2 linked regions of the Caenorhabditis elegans genome follow. The protein of the gene in region 2 interacts with the protein of the main gene of each other region in a pairwise test. Each region holds a gene or a part of one and is shown on either strand. Other genes may lie near its edges.

What was found.
Region 1: the proteins of Y46G5A.20 (region 2) and slfl-5 interact in a two-hybrid assay, tested with the Caenorhabditis elegans proteins (2 studies listed by BioGRID).

The regions. Positions count from the first base shown.
Region 1 is NC_003283.11:12,234,796-12,246,833, forward strand, and holds slfl-5 (Tr-type G domain-containing protein), read right to left. Parts: upstream 10,250-12,038; 5' UTR 10,236-10,249; coding exon of another isoform or gene 10,206-10,235; 5' UTR 10,154-10,205; coding exon 10,092-10,153; intron 9,914-10,091; coding exon 9,514-9,913; intron 9,466-9,513; coding exon 9,235-9,465; intron 8,742-9,234; coding exon 7,986-8,741; intron 7,921-7,985; coding exon 7,806-7,920; intron 7,738-7,805; coding exon 7,535-7,737; 3' UTR 7,176-7,534; downstream 1-7,175. Other genes in the region: ttr-22 (Transthyretin-like family protein), read left to right, coding at 6,635-6,803, 6,852-7,117; rad-50 (Zinc-hook domain-containing protein), read left to right, coding at 10,851-10,861, 11,790-11,838, 11,894-12,004.
Region 2 is NC_003280.10:12,806,386-12,816,260, reverse strand, and holds Y46G5A.20 (Nuclear receptor domain-containing protein), read right to left. Parts: upstream 5,253-9,875; 5' UTR 5,161-5,252; coding exon 4,974-5,160; intron 4,608-4,973; coding exon 4,465-4,607; 3' UTR 4,343-4,464; downstream 1-4,342. Other genes in the region: acl-7 (Phospholipid/glycerol acyltransferase domain-containing protein), read left to right, coding at 1-7, 666-953, 1,003-1,113, 2,012-2,548, 2,591-2,721, 3,029-3,197, 3,241-3,332, 3,564-3,834 and 2 more; spds-1 (PABS domain-containing protein), read right to left, coding at 5,466-5,600, 6,430-6,575, 6,830-6,985, 7,641-7,855, 8,173-8,288, 8,400-8,520, 9,143-9,354.

The sequences.
Region 1 (12,038 bases), on a different chromosome or scaffold from region 2:
AATCCCGGGAGCTATCCCGCCCTCTCTGCACTCTCTCTCTAATATTCTATTCTTGCTCTTCTATTTTCACTTCGGGAGCCCAACCAACACCTACCCTCCTTCGTTTTCCGATGAACTTGTGTTTAGAGACATAGAGATATCAGAGAAGGGACACAAATTTTGTTTTTAACAAATCGCCGAGAAATTTGAAGAAAGGTGATGAAAAACTGGGTGCTATTGTTAGCCAGTGGGGAATGTAACTGGGAATACCCTAGGGTTATGAAACTTTTCAGTTCTTACACAGGTAAAGCTGGATTTTCCAAATCATCAATCGGTTCCTCTGCAGTCTCGATTAAAATATTTGATATTTTCGTCAGGGATTTTGAAGACAAAAAGTTACTTTTTTCAAAAAAATGTAAAACTGTAAAAGGTAAAAATTTAATAGTTGGAAATATGTGATAACAGAGACGTTTACCTGATGGCAGGAGGTGTGATCCATTATATTCCATTATATTCGCGCACTCTTAACATTACACTAGTGCTATCTGAACAGTTGCGAAGAAGATCACAACAACAGTTTCAGATTTCAAGTTTTCCTGATTGCGCACCGTGTTGTTCATTTAACCATGTTTAAAATTAAATATGAAATAAGGTGCTTTGAATAATTTTTAACGATGCTTGAAAAATAACTTCTTCTACAAAAATGGTTAATTTCTATGTACAATTTTTCTTTTATAAATTATACTGACTCTCAAACCCATTTTTCTGTTCTTTGTTTTCTGTTTTTCATATTTTCTCGACTTGACTGTTTTGCACCCCCTCTGCAATCATTTTTGTTGACCCATACGTTGCCATCACGTACCAAGTCCAAGCTATGGTATCTGTTAGCAACAGTTGTCACTAATCACATGGCTCTTTTTCTCTGTTTTTATTCATTTTCTTCAGTATCTCGTGAAGAAAACAATGTGTTGATTGGTCTTTCAATTCTTGCAACAGATGCATTAGATTCAGGGCGCCGGAAGTGCAAGAAGTGGGCGCTAGTGAAGAATTGAAAAATATGCCAAACATCTGGATAAAAATAAAAAATTAACTTGCAGATAAAGAAAAAACATTGTGGTTGATCAGAAATGATAATTGGTTGGAAGCCAAACTTTAACGTTGGTTGACCAAAAATACATTGAACTAATTGGGTTATTCGTGAAATTAAAACGTATATTTCAGTGCACTTTTTGACTAATTGTAACCTGAAAAATATATATGTATTCCAGAACAGTTTTTGACCTTCTTACTCTTAGAAATCTTAAATATGTATTGAAAAATTGAAATGATCGTAACACAGTCAGTTTGGCCATACTATTTTTTTGGGTTCTAAAGTCAGCGGAGCGAAGCTGATTGCTGAATTTTTTGAGCACAATACCCAATATGTACTTCGTGAGTTCCGAAAACATATGAAATGTAACGAAACTTGAAGATCTAGTTCATCACATAATCCTGAAAACACTGATTGTGAAAAAGCAATCACACACAAAACTCAAAATCGGCCACCATAAACCTTTTTGCGGCCAGACCCTTTTGAATTAATCTGTGTGCCTTTAAGAACGCGTTTCAGAAATTGCAAATATACAATTCTATATCATTCAAATAGCATCTGTTCAATGATCGGTAGTTTCAGAACATATTCCAAAGATCAATTGTCATTTTAGAACTGATAATTAAACTTTCTTCACCTACTTCTATTTTCAGGAGATTAGTATTTTAAGAACTATGACGTAGTGGAATGTAAAACTATGGCACGTGACAAATTATGCAGTTAATTACAGAATAATCTCTAATTAGCCTGCACTTTTATTTTCGAAAGAAATACTCATGTTTTGTCGGGAAAATTATTTTATTCAAGAACTTATTATAGCCGGCAGTGATAGAGTACAGGTTAAAATAAATTACTGAAAATATATGTCAACCTGATCTTTGTTGCAGCCTTATCAAGCAAAATTCAAAATTAACGAAAACAGAGACTATAATCACTTGTTTCATTGGTTTTCATCAAACAGTTCAAATAGTTCAGAATGGAGAAGTAATTGAGAATTTATTTTTTTATTCGGTTTGACTGATTGCCTACAATGGTAAAAGATATTCCAATATTTCGATTTTTAATTATGTTTGTTGCATTTTTCTGTCTAATGAGTATATTTTCGAACTATACAGTCATAAATTTTACATTCATTTGTATGAAGAATGACTCATCTGGTATTAGGACATCTCCAAATGGAGTAAGTTACTGAATCAAAAAAAAGTTAACGCCTATTTCCAGACTGAATACAATATTTATGACTATTCGAGTGATGAAAAAGCAGAAATAATATGGGCGGTAGCAATTGGAACTGTACTAGGAACTGTTCCATATAATTGGTGCTATGTTAAATTTGGAGCAAGGTAAATATTTTTGGAAGTAATTTCTAATACATATTAACATTATTCCAATAGGTTCACATTTCTCTCGGCTGGAATTCTCTCATTTATATCGACTGTATTAATTCCCACAATGGCTTCAACCAACTTCTATCTACTTTTAATCATTCGATTTTTTCAAGGAATTTCTTATGCAGCAGACTTTGCAGTTATTGGAATAATTTGTATGAAATGGGCTCCGCTTGACGAGAACGCATTTTTCGTCTCTGCTCTAACGATATTCTCACCGTTTGCCACCTCAATTACGGATTCGTTAACGGGATGGGTAGGTTCACTAGAATTAGTATAAAATTTAAAGTTTTGAATTTTTATTACTTACTAAAGGCAGCATAAGTGGGAAGAACTAATTCACTAATTGTTCAGTTTCCCATATTTTAGTTCTGCACAACATCTTTTGGATGGGAATCTTCATTTTACGTACACTCGATTGCTAGTGTTATCTGTTTTATTTTATGGGTTTTTTTATTCGGATAATCCAGCGACTCATCGATTTGTTGGGACTCGAGAATTGGAACATATTCAAGATGGAAAATCACTTGAACATTATGAAACTAAAAGGTATTAGTTTATCAAAAACGTATAACCAGCCGAAACTTCAGAATAATACCATACTTTGCAATGATAAAGAATCCGGCAATAATTTGTTGCTGGTTCAATGCTTTCATGGATTTATCAATGTCAATCCTTCTGATAACCTACTCTCCAATATATTTCAATCAAGTTTTGAAATTTACAATCGAACAAACTGGATTTATTATCAGTATAACCAATTTTGCACAGATCCCTTTCAAATTACTCGCTGCGTATATTAGTGATAAAGTTACATTTATTAGTCCTCGTACTAAAATGCTAATTTTCAATTTTATATCATGTGGTATTGTGTCTATTCTATTTGGAATCGTTGGATTTGTTGATGAAGCTCATCGCTGGTGGGCTATGACCTTGGTTACAGCTGTTAACTGTTCGTTTTGAAATTATTTTTGAAAACTATGGTATATGTTTAGGTATGATGTCTACAAACTGTGGTGGATATTATCAATGTGCAAGATACGTGGCATTACAGTATGCGGACGTCGTGATTGCTGCAATACAATTTTGCAAAGCAATTGCATTATTCTTTGTTCCAGCATTAGTAGCTCTGACAGTTCACGATGAGAATAGCCGGGCACAATGGGCAACTGCGTTTTGTATTAATTCAGGCCTATTGCTTGTGGTAGGTGAACATTTTAGTCTAAATAATAAATTTTTAAATTATTTCAGGCAACGTTCACCTCATTTTTTTTCTTCTCGGATAAACCAGCTGATTTTACAATCACAAAAAAAGCGGATGATGCAGAACAATGTTGCAAACTATAGAAAATAATATACTTTTGATAAATAATGTACATACATATTTTCACAACTAAACTTCTCGTTTTTAGCACAATTTTATTCAAATATAAGTTTTTCAGAAGCTTAAATTTTGAAATTGTTATCTGGAAAGCGGAGTTTACAATCCGAAACTTTACTTTTTGTCTCAAACTATAAAATTGCTGCTATATAATTATAATTGGTAATTATAGCTGTTAGGGAGATATATGTATCACGAGAAAGTTGTTTATAAAGCTCATGGTAAAAACATTTTCACTTTCAAACAAAACACTAAAACAAATTTTGCCAACTCTCACTTTTCCTTTGGTTTTCATTTGAAAAAAATGAACGATGAGTTAGACATAGACACATTGTATTCAATTATTCTTCTCTCTGATTATTTTCTAAAAGCCCAACTAATATTATCAATAATATCATTAGTTTTGACTATTCCACATATTTTTATTTTAACGAGAAGCTCAATAAGAACATCAAGTACAAATTGTTTATTAATTGGCATCGCAATTTCTGACTTGTTTTTGCATTTGGGAAACTAAATGATAGAATTGAACTAGATTGGTATTTTCTTGATCCATGCGTGTTCAATAGTTCTTATTACGTCAATATTTATTTTCTTGTTAAAGACTTTTTGAAGGATACTTTTGAAAAATCTTCTTTTTCCTTGGGATTATTTTTAGCATTAATCCGATTTATTCTCATGAAACTTTCTGGTGATGCTCCGACTTTGTCAAGTAACTCATTTGGATATTTATTGGTAGTCGGTGTAATTCTGATCAGTTCCCTTCCTTCTGGTATCTATTATACAGGATATGATTTGATTGGTGCACCATGGGATGAAAAGTGAGAAAGATTCATTTTACAAAGAACCTTGAAGTAACGTTTATCTTTCAGTTGCACGGGAGTACCAGAAAACTTCACTAATATGTTTTACGATCACCAGATTGGAGAACATCCTATTATTTCGATAGACAATTATCGATACACAACTGGGAGTTTTCGGGTAGGAAGACTTTAAAATTTTTTTTTGGATTTTGCTTTACGCTTTCTAGGATATAGCTAAACTTCCGAGTAGCAATTTGATCTGACAAGTATGCGATTGGAAATCTGAGATTATTAGAATTTGGAACAACTCAAAATTAATGTAATTTTATTGCCCGCAATTTTAGAATAGTTCCGTTTTTTTTTTTGAATCGTATTGGAATTGTTTGAATGATTATTTTTCAAACTTCGAAGTATTTTTACTAGATTTATTAATACAAAAACATAAACTCATTTTTTGGTTTCAGATGATCATCACAATTGTTTATCCAATTTTTGGTGCACTTTTAATGTTTGAAATCATTAAATCTGCACGCTTCGCATCAGTGACACTCAGTAGACAAGATGCAATAGAACGGTATGCCAGCTGATTTGATTATTAACTTAACTATTAAATTCAATTTCAAGATATCGGTCGGGAAGGATGATAATGTGCATGACAATCTTCTACACAATTTCAAGTCTTCCTGGTGGTGCATTTGAATTTATCTGGATATTCATTAATCCACAATTTAATACAATTCTCCACATGGTTCTCTTGTATGGCGATGTTTGGGTTGATACATTTTTCTGTTTCAATGCGGCTGCACATTGTTTAATCAATTTTTCAATGTCACGGAATTATAGATCAACTGTGATGAAAGCGTTGCATATCGAGAATTGATGGTTCGATTTTTATTTGGGGCATTATAACTTTATATTCCGGACCATTTGTAGAATCGCTTTCAATTGTATCTTGTTTTTTTGATAAAACCCCAATTTCTTCCATAGTCTGCTAATATATACGTGATTTGCAACTACGATTCAATTCAAAAATATTATGTTTTTTCGAGTCCTGAACTTTTTCTACCTTATACACTAATTTACGATATAAATTCCTCCTTCCTATTTTTCTAGAGTTTAGAGGTTCGTAGATCCACTTCAATTAATTTGAACTATTTTCTAGAATATAATTTTGCATTCAGTGGACAAAGTCAAAAACATAGCTTCAGATCAGGAAACTATTGAGCAAAAAATATTTTCCTTAATAGTATTTTGTCGTAGTAGTCTTGGTGTAAAGGTGTGGTAGATTCAGTCACGTGGTGTCAGGCTGTCCCATTACGGGTTGATCTACGAGAAATCAGGAATTTCTCGAGCATAAACATGCTCTCAACCATGCGGAATCTGCTGAGAAGTCTGCGTCTAAATTTAAGAATTTTTTGTAGATTGTACCGATATGGGACACTCTGACACCATGTGGTCAGTTCCGTCAAGTATACAAATGAACCAAAAATACTGAATATTTATTTTTTAATCACTAGCATGTTTCACACTTTTTGTAATTTTCAGTATGTTCTTAAAGTTAGTTTAAACTTTATCACATTAAGCATTCTTGTATGTTCGAAACCCTACAAATCAATTACAAATTAATTTAATGTAATCCAAGTTAAAAGTTTTTTGGTCAACCTTCAAAACTATGAAATGTGAAAACTGAGTCATTTCTACCGTTGTGAGCATCATATAGTGATTTTAAAAGTTTTTACTATTGGCGTTTCACCAAATTTAAAATGGACTTTTAGTCGTTGAACAAAGTTGATATTTACAATAGAATTATCTAAAAAGAACCAATTATATCCTTTGTCGTTGATCTATGATTTCATTTTAAGTGACAATTATTGAGTCAGTGAGCAAAGTAACAATTTGTAACGACTATATTTACTCGAACTGTGTTTCTATTTACTTCTTGTAGACAGTATATAAATGTCTTACAAGAATCACTCTGAATTTTGTGTTCACAATGTTTTCAATTACATATATTGCTCTTTCTGTTTTCTTTTTGATTCATTGCTCCGATGCTTTACTCAATGTTATCGGAAGCACTCAAAGTGTTACTGTAACGGGAAAATTGGTTTGTGAAGGACAGCCAGCCAGTGGAGTTCTCGTGAAGATGTATGACGATGGAACGAGTAAGTTATTATTTGGAAGAACTGTTTTGAAACAATTGATTTTTTCAGTATATGACTCGAAATTAGGTTCGACGACCACCTCATCTGATGGAACATTTTCTGTTTCTGGAACATATACAGATATTTTAACATTGGATCCAAAAGTGAATATATATCATAGTTGTAATTACAATGGACCATGTTCAAAGAAAGTGACAATCAATATTCCTGATTATGCAGTTGCATCTGGAAGTAGCTCGACTGATAATTATGATATTGGAACTTTGAACTTAGCTAATCAGTTCAGTGGAGAAACCACTGATTGTATCCATTGAATGTGTACTTCCTAATAAATTTGTTTCTAGAATAATTGAAATGGGACATCTAGGAAGAGTGAATTCAGTTCATTTTTAAAATTGTAACTAAAAAAGCAGTAGCGCAAAAAATGCTACAAAAAATGAATAGAATGAGTGGGGGCACCTGGAAGAAGAGAAAAAAGAGGATCTAGAGTATTTTTGGAGACAAAAAGGTTCACTTAGTGAACAAATATTCAGAATTGTACAATTTCAACTATGTACAACTATTATCAACCCGGAGCAAAATGTAAACACACGGGTACCTAGGAGGAGAGGGCAAAGAGAGAGAGAGTGAAAAAAGACTACAAAAAAGAGGTCTACACAAAATATACAAGATAATTGGGAGGGGGGGGGGGGGGTGGCAGTAAAATTTAGAGATTTTCAGACTAACAATTATCATTGGGTGCACGGAAATACTTTTAATACTTCTCCCATTCCTTTGGTTTTTCCTTGACGAAGAATAATTGGTGATCCTTCACGAATGACTTCTGGTTGATAGGCGAAACACATTTTAACTACAGCCCATTTTCCTGGACGGATGCAGTCTGCATCGTCGATGTGAGTAATAATGGCAGTTGTACAGACACTTCCGATAAACACTGAAAAAGTTCATAAATTATTTCAGAAAAAATCAAAACTGAAAGTTGAAATGAGAAAAAGTACTCACCTGTGGCTTGAAATCCTTCGCATATGTATTTCGTCGAGTGACACAGCAGTAAAAGATTGGCAGTGAATTCGTAACAAACTGGTGGTTGATGATCGATTTCAGCAAGAACCATTCCCTTTAATGAAAATAATCAATATGTTTCACATTTCGAATGATTTTTCTGTGGAAAAAAATACTTACCCTTCTTAGACTGACACCGTCTGGAAGATTCAAGGATATCGATGCAGCTTCACCAGGATTAACACATCCTACGGCTTGCCGGCTTCTTCGAATCGACCCGACAGTAATTTTTTCAAAAGTTCCATCTTTCATGGGTCCAACAAGAACATCTGCTCCTTCATGCAATTGTCCTTCAGATAGCATTCCTCCAACTACTTGTCCAACATGAGGCACATTATATAGTTCCTCGATTGTGAAAAAGGCTGGGAGTCCAACTAGTTGAATACGTGACTCTGCAGTTCCAGCTGTAGAAAGGCAATTGAGAAGTGTTCTGAGACAACGAAAACCTTCTCCGCTCACTGAACTAACAGCAAGAACTGGTACGATACTACCAACGCAGAGTTCTTGTGCCGCCTTCACTGCGTCTCTTTTAGTTTTCACTCTTTTCTCGCGAGCTGTCATCCCTGCTTTCGCAACAAGATTGGAAACATCTTTGATGATTTTCTTAAGTCCTTGTCGATCGACTAGATCCATTTTTGTGATCAGTACAAACATTGGAATGTTTAAAGCGGCAATTAATCCAAGATGTTCACGAGTGGCCCACGTGATTCCTCGATCGGCGGCTACAACAAGGCAAGCGAAATGAGGAGTGTATCCGGTTAATCCATGAATTGTCGTTTTCTGATATTTTGCGTCTCCAGCCAGATCGATAAGTGTTACAAGTTTTGAAGACTTCTCCACCATTTCTTCGAGACTATTTTGTGCATAATTGACTAGCTGAAAAAAGTAAAAATTAGATATTTATAAATAAATTTAAAAAAATCGAATTTAAGTTTTTCAAATAAAATTTTTCTAAATTCATTGTTTTTGTATTCAAAAGTGGAGTAGAATCATTTTGAAATTTTGTTTTGAATGAAAAAAAAATTGACCGTAATAATCGATTTTAATTGATTTTAAAAGTTATAAAATCTTTCTAACTTTTTAAATTTTTATTTTTGATAATTGGGCGGGAATTCAAAAACAGATTTTTATTTTTTTATTTTTGCAAAATTGAAAAAATTATAAAAATTTTATGATTTTTTGAAACAATTATATTCGGTATTACCGTCCATTTTTTTAATTATTTAAATCAAAAACCCTAATAAATAGGATCCAACTTTAAAATTTTCAATAAAGAAATTATCTACAATTTAATCAGTTTACTGTTTTTTTTTTTAAATATTTTCAAGCATATTTTAACCCATTCTGAATGTTTCGAAAAATTTCTAACCTTTCCACGATTATCGAAGCCAATGACATCATTACAGACAGAACTGGTTTTTCCTGTTCGCACTTCGTGTGGAAATCTGAATATTCCAATTCTTGCTTTTCCGTTTCCGTCGTCCAGACAACCCTGTGTTAACACTCCACACAGTGTTGATTTTCCGACATCGCATCCTCCAACGACAGCAAGACGAACTTCGATGAATTGCTGGCTTTCAGGAACCTTTCGGACAAGTACCTAGAAAAATAATTTCATTTAGATAAAATATGACTCAATAATAATTACCTCGACTACAGTTCTCCGTGAATTTGATCCCTTAACAGTAACGTCTTTCTCGGTCAAAATAACCATACTCGCCCCAAGAGCTTGGGCCATCGTTCTCAAGGTCCGAAGTGAATCATTCAGTTCCTCGTCTGTTAATCCAGACATTATTCCACCATCCTCAACGCCAATTTCATAAATAGCCTCTCCTTGACCCTCACGAAGACGCCATTTCATTTGAGTGATCAGATGTTGTATACGAGATGTCGTTGGATTTACTAATTTTGCTTTGTACTCAATATTTCCAAGCTCCGTTTCAGGTGGCAATCGGTTTTCGGTGTCGGAGTCGGAACATTCATCGTTAGTTGGCAGTGAAGAGCTGAGAAGTGTTGGTCCATTTTTAGAGTCCGATATTGATTGTCGTCTGTAAAAAATAATATAATATACTACCTTAAATGATTTGGCGACATTAAATAAATTGAATTGATTTTATATCAATGTTTTAGAATTGATTTATTTTTTATAAGGAATTTAAATAAATGAATTTTGATTTTAGAAATAAAATTTTCAAATGTTAACCACACAATATTTATCGTACTCACCTAGTTTTGTAAAGTGGCTGATGATTCTGCTCATCGCAGAAATGTGAAATCATAAAATCCATAGTGAGATTGAGTTGTTTATTATTTTATGAAATGAGATAATCAGTTGGATAACTACTGCTCACGCCGTATTCGATCTATCATTCGATTCTCCGATTCTGGAACATCAAATTTTAATCATAGGGAGAGAGGTTCGGGTACTTGAGAAAAAAATGTCGTGTTTCGAGAGGTTTTGAAAAGTCAGTTGTTAACTGGTTCGGTCAACATGTAGAGATTGTAGAGAAATATGAGAACTTAGAGAATTGACGTATGAAGAGAAAAAAGTGGGAAAGGGGAGCCGCTGTTGTTTTCGAAAGAAGAAAATAAGACAGAAAAAATCGGAGAGGAACATAACAACAAGTTAAGTTGACTTTTGAACTGGAAATTTGTCAATATTGAAAAAAGGAACAGTGAGAAATATCGATTTCCACGTCGCTCGATTCTATGAAAAGAAATTATGCACACACAAGCTTCACAGTGAGCATGCTGAATGATTGAGCAAATACATGAGAGAATAAGAGAGGAATGAGATGAAAAGAAGCGTTCAAATCAAAAGAAACCAGACAAAATGGCGATTTTTTACGGGAATATGAACCTACTGATTGGCAGTGGACAGCTGGAAGAATAAGAAGATACTGAAGGAAGGTTGAAGTTGAAGCTTGGAAGACAGATGATGAGAGAGAGGAAAACCTGTTTCTTTTTGATTACGATCGGACGGAAATGAGAAGGAAGTAAGTGTTTTCACACGTAGGTGGGCATTGAGATCTTTGAAGGTGCATTCGACAGGTTAATAATCATTCTAAATACCAGGTGACAATGGAGGATACTTTTAAACAGTAAATATATTGGAATAAAACATAAAAGTTAGTCTTACTCAGAATTTCTAAAATTTCAGCCTTCTGGAACGAAAGGTAAAATCATAATAATAATACAAGTGGGGCTGTTAGTAGCCCTAAATACAAGTAAAATGACCGAACACAGCCGTTAAAGAATGTTGCAGAAAATTGCGAAATATTTCCTTACTCTTAAGAACAACATTCGATGTGACGCAATATGATGCATTTCCTTAGACAAAAACGTTCAGTTCAAAATAAACAACAATAAAACCGTTTGTACGATTTCTAGAATACGAGTTTATCAGTTGTTCGGAAAATATCTTATCAATCGTTTGACTGATGTTTTTTAACCATGTGAGAATTTGAAAAAAAATTTCATGATTGCCAAAAATTAAAATAAACAGGAAGCTTTTACCGAGTTTTCGTGATTTTCAGAATGAAGAAATTAATATGAAGCTCAAAATCAAAAGCAGAGGGAAAAGAAAAAATCGAAATCTTCTTTCGGTTAAACAACACGCGCTTGCGGAACTTCGGAGCATCGTATTTTGTTTTTGCGCTCTATTTTTGAATCGGAAACTGTTTTTTTGTCAGTTTTCGAAATTGTTTTTTTTCTGTTTTTTTACTTCATGCAAGAGTTTAACTTTACGCAAAAATTAATTAAAAATACGCAGAAGGCCCACTTTACACAGGAATTAATTGAAAATACTCAGGAATTTCACTTTACTTAGTCCTTTTTCCAGAGTTTCCAACGGAATCAATATATTAATTTAATTTCGCAACATTTTTCTTTGAATAAACCTATTTGCAAATGAGAATGTTTCAGATATTTGCTTATCGAAGCCTGGGAATTGCTTATGGCGAAATTTTTACGCGTAAGTCTGCAAATTTATTTTTACTCTGAAAATACTAAATTTATGAAAATTTCAGCTACACATCAGAGGAATTCGAAGTGTCGGTGATGAGGACCACGATGTTCACAAAATTGATTTCCTCTCTCCGTGCACACTAATCAGTGGACCAAATGGAACAGGAAAAACGGTAAGATCAATATGATTAGAGCATCATAACTTTT
Region 2 (9,875 bases):
GGTTAAGGTGAGTGCACGCCTATTTCTTGGCTTCCTAGCCACGGACTTCTGGCTTTCCTCATAAATTGAAATGGAAGAGTTTAGGCCGAACTAGGCCATTTTGGCTCGGCCATATCTGGCGTAGATTTACGGCGCGTTGCGCGTCGCGTCGCGGCTCGAAGTTAGTTGTAAAACTGAATGTATTTGTCCGTGTGGAGTACACGACTTTGCTACGTGTTGTCCGACGGGCGATTGTCAATGGAGCGCGAAAAATTCAATGAGGAAGGCCAGGACCCCGTGCCTAGCGGATTTATAAAGATTGTGGGCAGTAAGAATAGACAAAGAATATAAATTCATAAATGTTTCCAAAATCTGAAAAAAACATTAATAAGGTTTACAAGACCTACTTTCTGCCTACTCGACCTACTTTTTGCCTACTCCTGAACATTTTTCAGGTGCTAGGCATGCTAGGTATACCTGACCGCGTGCCCAATCCTTTTCTAAAACTACACAGTTTCTTCTGAAATGCGGAAACCACGATGTTTCTTATCAATCTCTACTTTTTATCAATTTCTCGAACTTTAGTTTACGGTTGTTCTAGAGTAAACTTGAGTTAATTCCAAGACTACAACCGGACGGAATCCTTTTTTTTTTGCACAAAAAAGGTAAAAGGTTTTAACTTTCAGAGCGTCATCAGCGAGGAGACCCTTCGTCGAAAATGCAGTCCGGATCTAGTTCGAAAGGAGGCAGAGGAGATCCTGGATGAGATGTCCCATACCTTTAATTTATATAATGTCCGATCATTTGGCTACGCAGTTTGCAAGGCTATGGAGAAGCTTTACGATGGGATTTATGTAAACGAGAAGAAGCTTCTGGAGATCCGAGAACGCAGTAAGAAGGACTGTGTGATTTTTATGCCATCACACAAGACGTACTTTGATTTCCTGCTCCTGTCACTCATCTGCTTTCAATATGTAAGGTCACGCTTTTGGGCTGCAAATATTGTGGTTTGACGGTTTTCAGGACATTCAATTGCCGGCGATTGCCGCGGGACAGGACTTTATGAGCATGAAGTTTATGGCTGGCGTGTTGCGACGGTCTGGCGCATTTTTTATGAGACGATCGTTTGGGACGGTGAGATGTATAAATTTTGAAATTGTGAAGGTCGGAAAAAAAGGAAAAAAAAACCTGTGACTTTTTGACCCATTTTCTAGTTTAATACCAAAATAACACCTGACATCACAGTGTCCCATTTTGGTTTGATCTACGAATATCGCAGGATTTTAGACGCAGACTTCTCAACTGATTTCAAATTTACATAGCGCGCTGACGTCTCATTTTTCTGCGCGAAAAATTCCCGCATTTTTTGTAGATCAAACCGTAATTGGACAGCTTCACACCACATGATACAGCCGTTCCTACAGTGCATTTTTCCCATTTCTCCGACTTCAAAGGAGGACGCATGCTGCTCAACTGTCCCATCACGGTTTGATCTAAAAAAAATGCGGGAATTTTTTGCTCCAAAAATATGTGACGTCAGCACGTTCTTAATCATACGAAATCAGTTGGGAACTCAGCGTCTCTTCTCCCGCGCTTTTCGCAGATCTACGTAGATCAAGCCGAAATGAAGCACTCTGACACCACGTGGGAGGGCACGTTTATACGAAATGGTCCCGCCACGCGCCCCAAAAATCAATAGGAGGCGCGTGGCGGGACCATTTTGTATGAATGCGTCCTCCTTTAAATGTCGTATAATCGGAACAAAATCTACTGTAGGAACAACCGTACTACGTGATGTTATGCTGTCCAATTACGGTTTGATCTACAAAAAATACGGGAATTTTTTGTCGTCCAGAAACATGTGACCACGCAAGATCACTTAAGAAACCTGCGTCTAGACGCGTCAAAATTCCCGCAATTCTCGTAGATCACCACGCGAAAAATATGTAGACCGCGCTGACTCAGCTGAAAAGTTGGCAGAAAAAAATCAAGGGTACGATCTAGACAGGACGCTTTTTTTTCAATTTTCCAGGACCAACTCTACTGGGCTGTCTTCTCCGAGTATGTGCAAACCCACGTTGTCAATAACGACAGAACCGTCGAATTTTTCGTGGAAGCCACCCGTTCCCGTGTTGGAAAATCTCTTCATCCCAAATATGGAATGCTCCAAATGGTGCTGGAGCCATATCTACGTGGCTCCGTCTACGATATTGTCATTGTGCCGGTTTCGATGAACTATGACAAAATCCTCGAGGAAAAGCTCTATGCTTATGAGCTTCTGGGCTTTCCGAAACCAAAAGAGTCAACTGGAGCTCTACTGAAAGCCCGGGAAATGTTGAAGATCACACATGGAAGTTGCTTCTTAACATTCGGAGAGCCAATTTCCGTCCGAGACCATTTCGGTGTCAGCCTTCACCGGAATACGTTTGTCTGTCAGCCAGACTCACAATTTGTGCTCGACGCGCAGGCGAAGCTGGAGATCAAAAGGTTCGCGCATCGAGTCGTGGGAATTCACAATCAGAATGCGGTGATTACGGTCTGGAGTGTGGCGTGTATGGCTATTTTACAGGTGAGCCGAGATTTCTCGACATTCGTAAGGGCATTCTTGCAGACTTTTGATAGGGATGATCAGGCGATTATCACATACTGCGGATTGTATACGGATGTTAATAATCTTATCATTTTGCAAAATCATCTTGGCACAGTTGTTAACATTCAGGGAAATTTGGACAAAAATTTACGGTATCAGTTTCCTTTTTCTCGTGAACTTCAAGATGGAGTTTGAAAAATGCACGTGGTGTCAGAGTGTCCCATTTCGGTTTGATCTACGTAGATCTACAAAAAATGCGGGAGTTGAGACGCAGCGTTCTCAACTGATTCTGAATGGTTAAGAACGTGCTGACGTCACATTTTTTGGGCGGAAAAAAACCCGCATTTTTTGTAGATCAAACAGTGGGACAGCCTGACAACACGTGAAAATGCAGGAAATTTTATTCAGCAATTTTCGCCAAGTAAATTTGAAGACTCTTTTGAAAATTAAATGTTTCAGCTACTACCTAACAATGCACGCAGATTTATTCGAGCCATTTGAAGGCTCCGCTCCCGATTTTCAGCTGAAATTTATCGCTTTTCCGGTGGCTCATCAGAAGCAGGATGTTCCTATCAAAATTATGGAGAGAGCAGTGAGCCGGCTCATTTTGACAACCTATTCGAATGGGGTGAGCTAGAGCTCTCTGAAATTTGTTAATTTCCAATTTCCAGATGGTACATGCTGTGGACAGTGAGGGCATCATTTGCACAATCTTGAGAAATTCTGGAATAACGGACGTGGCGAAGGTGAAGGAAGAGTTTTGGTGAGCAATTATAGGACATACCCTACTACACGTGGTGTCAGAATGTCCCATTTCGTTGTGATCTACCAAAAATGCGGGATTTTAGACGCAGAGTTCTCAACTGATTTCGCATGGTTAGGAATGCGCTGACGTCACATTTTTCGGGGAAAAAATTCCCGCATTTTTTGTAGATCAAACTGTTATGGGACAACCTGGCACCACGTGTTACTAATAATAGTTACCAACTTTCAGCTGGCTCCATTTCCTAATGAAACGAGAGTTTGTGACGGTTCCCGGAGAGCTTCCCCAACTATTTGACGCAACTCTCGATATTCTGAGAGCTTCTGAAATCTTGCAATTCACCGATGATAATAAAATCGAAATCCTAGACGAGAAAAATGCAGAAGTGTTGAGCAAGCTTGTGCTCCCATATTTTTATAATTTTGAGATAGCGTTTAACGTGTTTTCCGAGAAGAAGCCAATGGTTTCCAGTTTATCAGAGATGGTGGGAACTGTGCAGAAGGTGAGGTTACTAGCCGAACGAGACTCCGTTATAACTAAATTTTCCTGAATTCGCGTGGTGTTAAAGTGTCCCATTTTGGTTTGATCTTCGGAAAAAGGCGGGAGAAGACTTCACGCAGACTTCAACTGATTTCGCATGGTTAAGAGTGTGCTGACGTCACATTTTTCTGGGGGAAAAATTCCCGCGTATTTTGTAGATCAAACCGCAATAAGACACTCTGACTCCACGTTTGAATTGCAGAATATTAGTGAAGCATATCAAGATCGCTTACCCAACATCCGACTATCATTCCTATCAACTGAGCCTATCAAAAATGCATTCGCCGCACTGACGGATTTTGGAGTATTTGAGAACTCGGTGAGTTGTTTGAAAATGTTCTACTAATTGGAAGTACGAGAATTTTGAAATTCAGAACACCGGAATGCGGCCAAACTTTGGGAAGCTCCACCAAATCAAGAATCGATTGCAGAGGTTCACACAGTCGGAGAATCATTTGGCAAAGTTATAGGAACTTTATGAATAAAAATTTTTGAACTATGATCTTGTATATTTTTTGATTGATGGCAAAATATCGAAATTTAAGTTAATAATCATCTTGTTCATAATCGTTTTCCTGATCGTCTGAATCGTCTAAAGAGTCATTGAAGAGTCATTTGAACATGAGTCATCTGAGGAGTCATCAGATGAGTCATCCGATGAGCTAACCGAACTTTCTGAAGATGACTCACTAAGGTTCTGGTTCTGGTACCGGGTGCTCAGCTGGCCGACTTGGTCTGGAAACATTACAATTGTGATGACTTCCTAAAGATCCAGGCCTGGATTTTTTAGGTACGAATGGTTCTTTTCGGTTTGATCTCCGAAAAATGCGGAAGAATAGACGCAGACTTTTCAACTGATTTTGCATGGTTAAGAACGTGTACATTTTTTTTTGGGCGAAAAATTCCCGCATTTTTCGTAGATCAAGCCGTGATATGACAGCCTGGCATCGTGTGCCGTAGTCGCAAAATTTATTAATAACGATTCATTCTGTCACGCAGATACCGTATTTTCGCTAGGGCTCCCAGCTGAGTGAGGCGTGAAAGGACAATTGGAGGACACACGGTACTCCTCTGAAATTCAACTCAGAGTTCAAAACCCACCATCTGATTCTGAAGAGTTGGAAGACGAAGAAGAAGAAGTAGAAGAAGAAGAAGAAGATGATGATGATGATGATCTACGACGCGGTGCATGACGAGGAAACGAATCCTGGCACAACTTGAAGTAAAAACAATCTCCACCGGAATAGCCAACGCATGCTGTAGAATGGCACCCCGGGCAGCGCTCCATTTTGAGCTGAATAAAACAGTTCGAATAAAAAGTGTCCGAAACGTACACTTTTTGAAAAAGTTTAATATCAAAATGGAGAGGGGACGGGTTATATGGAGGTGCTGAAACTGATAAAACGCTTAAAAAGGAGGGGAATGTCCTGGACAAAAATTAGAGTGAGGAAGAACATGAATTTCACAATATTTGTTGATTTTTTTTCCTGGGACAGCTGGAATTTGTTGAGCGGTTCAAAAACATTAATTTTTATTGAAAACAGGTAAAACAGAAAACAGATTTTATTCTAAATATTTTTAAATTCTTGACATCTACTCCAAAGCATTTTTGACAAATTGCGGAAGCACAAAAGCCGCCTTGTGAACTTCCGAGTTGTAGAATCTCAAGTTCAGGGCTTTGATCTGTTCAGCAGTGAGGGTTCGAGCAGGAGTCGTGACGTCACGGTTCTTAAAAATATCGAAAATTTTGTTGGTGATCTTCATTCGACAGTGAAAGTAGCCTCACGTGGTGTCAGGCTGTCCCATTACGGTTTGATCTAAAACAAAATGCGGGAATTTTTTGCTCCAAAAATATGTGACGTCAGCACGTTCTTAATCATACGAAATCAGTTGGGAACTCAGCGTCTCTTCTCCCGCGCTTTTCGCAGATCTACGTAGATCACTCTGAAATGAGACACTCTCGCACCACGGGAAAAATTTTTCTCACAAGCAGACAAAAATTCCCGAAAAAAAAATCTGAAAATCCACATAAAAAATTGAAAAAAAAATTGACTTTGCTATTATCCAAACGCGAGGTTTTGCAATTTTCGCGCCAAAACTACGGTGCCCGGTCTCTACACGACAAGTTCTCGTTCGATACGAAAATGTGCCTTTAAAGATTACTGCAGTTCAAAACTTTTGTTGTTTTTCATAGATTTTCCTAGTTTTTCTCGCGATTTTTCAAAAATGAATTAATAATATTAATAATTTTTTTTCCAAAAAATCGAGCAAAAAAATCCGCAACTAAATACGTAAGTTTCAAATTACAGTAATCTTTAAAGGCGCACACCTTTTCGCATTTAATGAAAATTTGTCGCGGTGAGACCCGGTACCGTATTTTTCACTTGAAAATCGCAAAATTTCGCTACTTAAAAAAAAAGGAAAATCACAAACACCACACACTGAACGTGCTTTTAAAAAAATTGTGAAGTATTGCGAAATTTTGCAAAATGTTTTGGGGTGATCGCGATCAGATTGTGATTTTTCTCTTTTTTTCTCGTTGTTTTCTTCTCCTCACAGCATTTTTTGCACAAATCAGGTATCCCATGCTTCCAGACGGGTAGGTAGAGACGATCGACTGGGCGTAGGTGACGGCCGGGAAAATTTTTCGATTGAAGGCGACGAGATGAGCGATTAGTGGGAGGTGAAGCCACACAGATTCTCCTGAAAATCACTCACTAACACAGTTTTAGAGGTGCACTACAATTAGAGGGGTTGGTTGTACCATGAGAGTTCGATGGAGCGCGTTTGCAGGTTAGAAATAGTCGTTTGACCTCCAGGAACCGCGGGAATTTATTTTTAAGTGGTTACGTCACTCATATATATTAATCACACCATATCACCACAGAAATGTTATTGTGCAATGGAGCGCATTTTCATTCATCAGGTTAATCAACACAGTAAAAATCACACCACACCAGTGTTCACCTTATCCTTTGCGCATAAAATATAGCCCATCAGGCCTGACGTGTAGGTTGGCACGCTGCCAACCGCGTACTTTGCCACGGGAAATAGGTCACGAGCCGAATGGATTACGGTAGAGATGAGCTTCATGTCTAGCCATGGGCATTCGCCTAGAAGGATTTCTTTAGAGTAAAGAAATAAATTTAGTCACGTGATTTTTTTTTCAAGTTTTTCAATCGAAAAAAACAATTCAAAATCAATTTTATTCCTTCGAATTCAGCATATGCGCCTTTAAAGTCTTACAGTAACCAGTTTCTTTTTTTCGTTACACTGATTTTCTTGGTTTCAAAATGTAATTCAGCATAATCTCCTAAAATTGAATTTTTCTGTTTTAAAAAACTTCAAAATTATATGAAAATTAAGCTGAAAACTCCATAAATTAGTTTTCGTGACGAGACCCGCTGCATATTGCCGCCTATGATCCTTTAATAGCCTACAGTAACAATAATTTTTAATTTTTTTTAGTTTCCACTGTTTTTTTCTTGGTTTCCAAATTTATTTTTTAGTGTAATTTATTAAACTAATCCCAAAACATATTTTTCTTTGCTAAAACCTTCAAAATTTAATCAAAATCAAGTTAAAACTCCATAAATTGATTTTCGCGGCGAGACCCTTGGCATATTTCCGCCTATGCGCCTTTAATGACTTGCTGTAACTTATTGACTTTTGTTTGCTCTTCTTTAATTTAAAATAGTTTTCTTCAAGTTTTCTTAAGTTTTTTATCGATTTTCTTCATTTTTAAGTGATTTTTTTGTTATTTCCCACCTTGCGATGACAAAATTCCATCCTCCTTCAACGCATCTCTCAGCAACTCGTAATAACTTTGCCCGAAAAGCGATTCAGCCGGCCCAACTGGATCGGAACTGTCCGTGATAATTACGTCGAACTCGTTCTTGTGATTTTTCAAAAATTCGAAGCCATCTCCGCAGAATAAGTCGAGTTTCGGGTGTGAGAAACCGCACGACATGCCAGGCAGGAACCTTTAAAAGATTTAAAATTTTTTTTTAGAATTAAGTTAATTCAACCAATTTTTGTTGAAAAACACGGATTTCTGGCTTCCCTCATAAATTGAAATGGAAGAGTTTAGGCCGAACCAGGCATTTTTGCTCGGCCATATCTGGGGTAGATTTACGGCGCGTTGCGTGTCGCGTCGCGGCTCGATTTTAGTTGTAAAAATGAATGTATTTGTCCGTGTGAAGTACACGACTTTCCCACGCGTTGTCCGGCAGGCGATTGTCAATGGAGCGCGAAAAATTCAATGAGGAAGGCCAGAACCCCGTGTTTTTAAAAATCATACTTTTTCGCGACATCGATCACCATTTCGTCTATTTCACACATTGTGACCTTCTCGACGGACTCGTGCTTCAAGACCTCTCTCAAAATACCTCCATCTCCTCCACCAATGATAAGTACCTGAAATGCGGCGATTTCAGTGAAAATCTTGAGGTTTTAGCGATTTTTAAATCAAAATTTCTCGAAAAAGGGAGTTTTCCAAGCCAGAAATGTCATTTCTAGCGAGCTTACACGTTTCGGGTCCGGATGGGCAAACATTGGGAGATGGGCCAGCATTTCCTGGTAGGAGAACTCATCCCGTTCAGTTGCCTGAACAATTCCGTCTAGAACTAGAACATTTCCATAGGTTGTGCTGAAAAAAATTTGAATTCCGTAATTAATTTTGAAAATTCTAAGGCGGTGTGCTGGATTTTTTTAAAATAGCTTCATTATTCTCAAAATTGTCTGAAAACACCGAATTTCATAATGAAACTTCTTGAAAACTTCCCAAAAAAAAGTTATGACGGCTCAAAAAATGGCCTAAAATTAGTTAAAACTTGAAATTTGACTTGTCAGCGCTGTCAGCTGGAAACTAATTTTTTTGAAATCACCGTCTAATTTTAAGTATACAATGTAATTATCTCGCGTTTTCAACTCGATTTAGGTGTCTTAAAGTCGATGGACGGCAAAATTTGGTTTAAAAAATTAAAAAATCGCGCCGTTTATCAACTTTAAAATACCAAAATCTTGTTGAAAATGCAAGATAAATGACTTGTATACCTAAAATTTGACGGTGATTTCAAAAAAAAATTTGTTTCCAGCTGACAGCGCTGACAAGTTAAATTAAAAATTTTATCTAATTTTAGGCCATTTTTTGAGCTATCATAACTTTTTTTTGAGAAAATTTCAAGAAGTTTCTTTATGAAATTCGGTGTTTTCAGACAATTTCGTGTCTAATAGAGCAATAAAAAATTCGACTACACCACATTTAATACCTCTCAAAAACCAGCACATCCTGATACTTGCTCTTCTCGTGGAAAAGCACTTTCTTCACCTGCAACGAGAACGCCTGTCCCGGCCACGCGCCGCCCATCTCTTGTCCGTCGGATTTGAGCACCTTCGTTGGCTCCTCGTCGGAGGCTCCGTTCATCTTTTCCAGGTCATCCGGCGAGAACTCGGTGAACCATCCCTTGTGCAGCTTGTTCATGGCTTTTCTGGAGAATTTAGAAGGAATTTTTCAGGAAAAGAAGAGAAAAGGGAGAGTGGGGGTAAATGAGCAGACTGATGAAGAAGGTTGGGAGTTGATAGTGACCAGTGATAATAGTGATAATGGACAGGTGATAAGATATTGGGAGCAATTAAACAGGCAGGTACTTGAGAGTTCCTAAATAAGGTTCGATTCAAAATTTCAAAAAAAATTCGCTAAATTGTTATAGTGCATTTGTTTTTCCACTTCTATGATTTTAAAGGGAGGCGCATTTATGCGGATTGGTCTTGCCGCGCGTTTAGTCATCATTTTTAACAGTCTCTGTTCAAAATTCACGTAGATCACGCGTAGGTCTAAATTATTTTGTGAAAAAGTAACAGTATATATAGTATATATATATGAGTATATTATATATTATATATCTATGAGTATATTATATATTATATATCTCTGTTACTTTTTCACAAAATAATTGAGATCTACGCGTGATCTACGTGAATTTTGAACAGAGACTGTTAAAA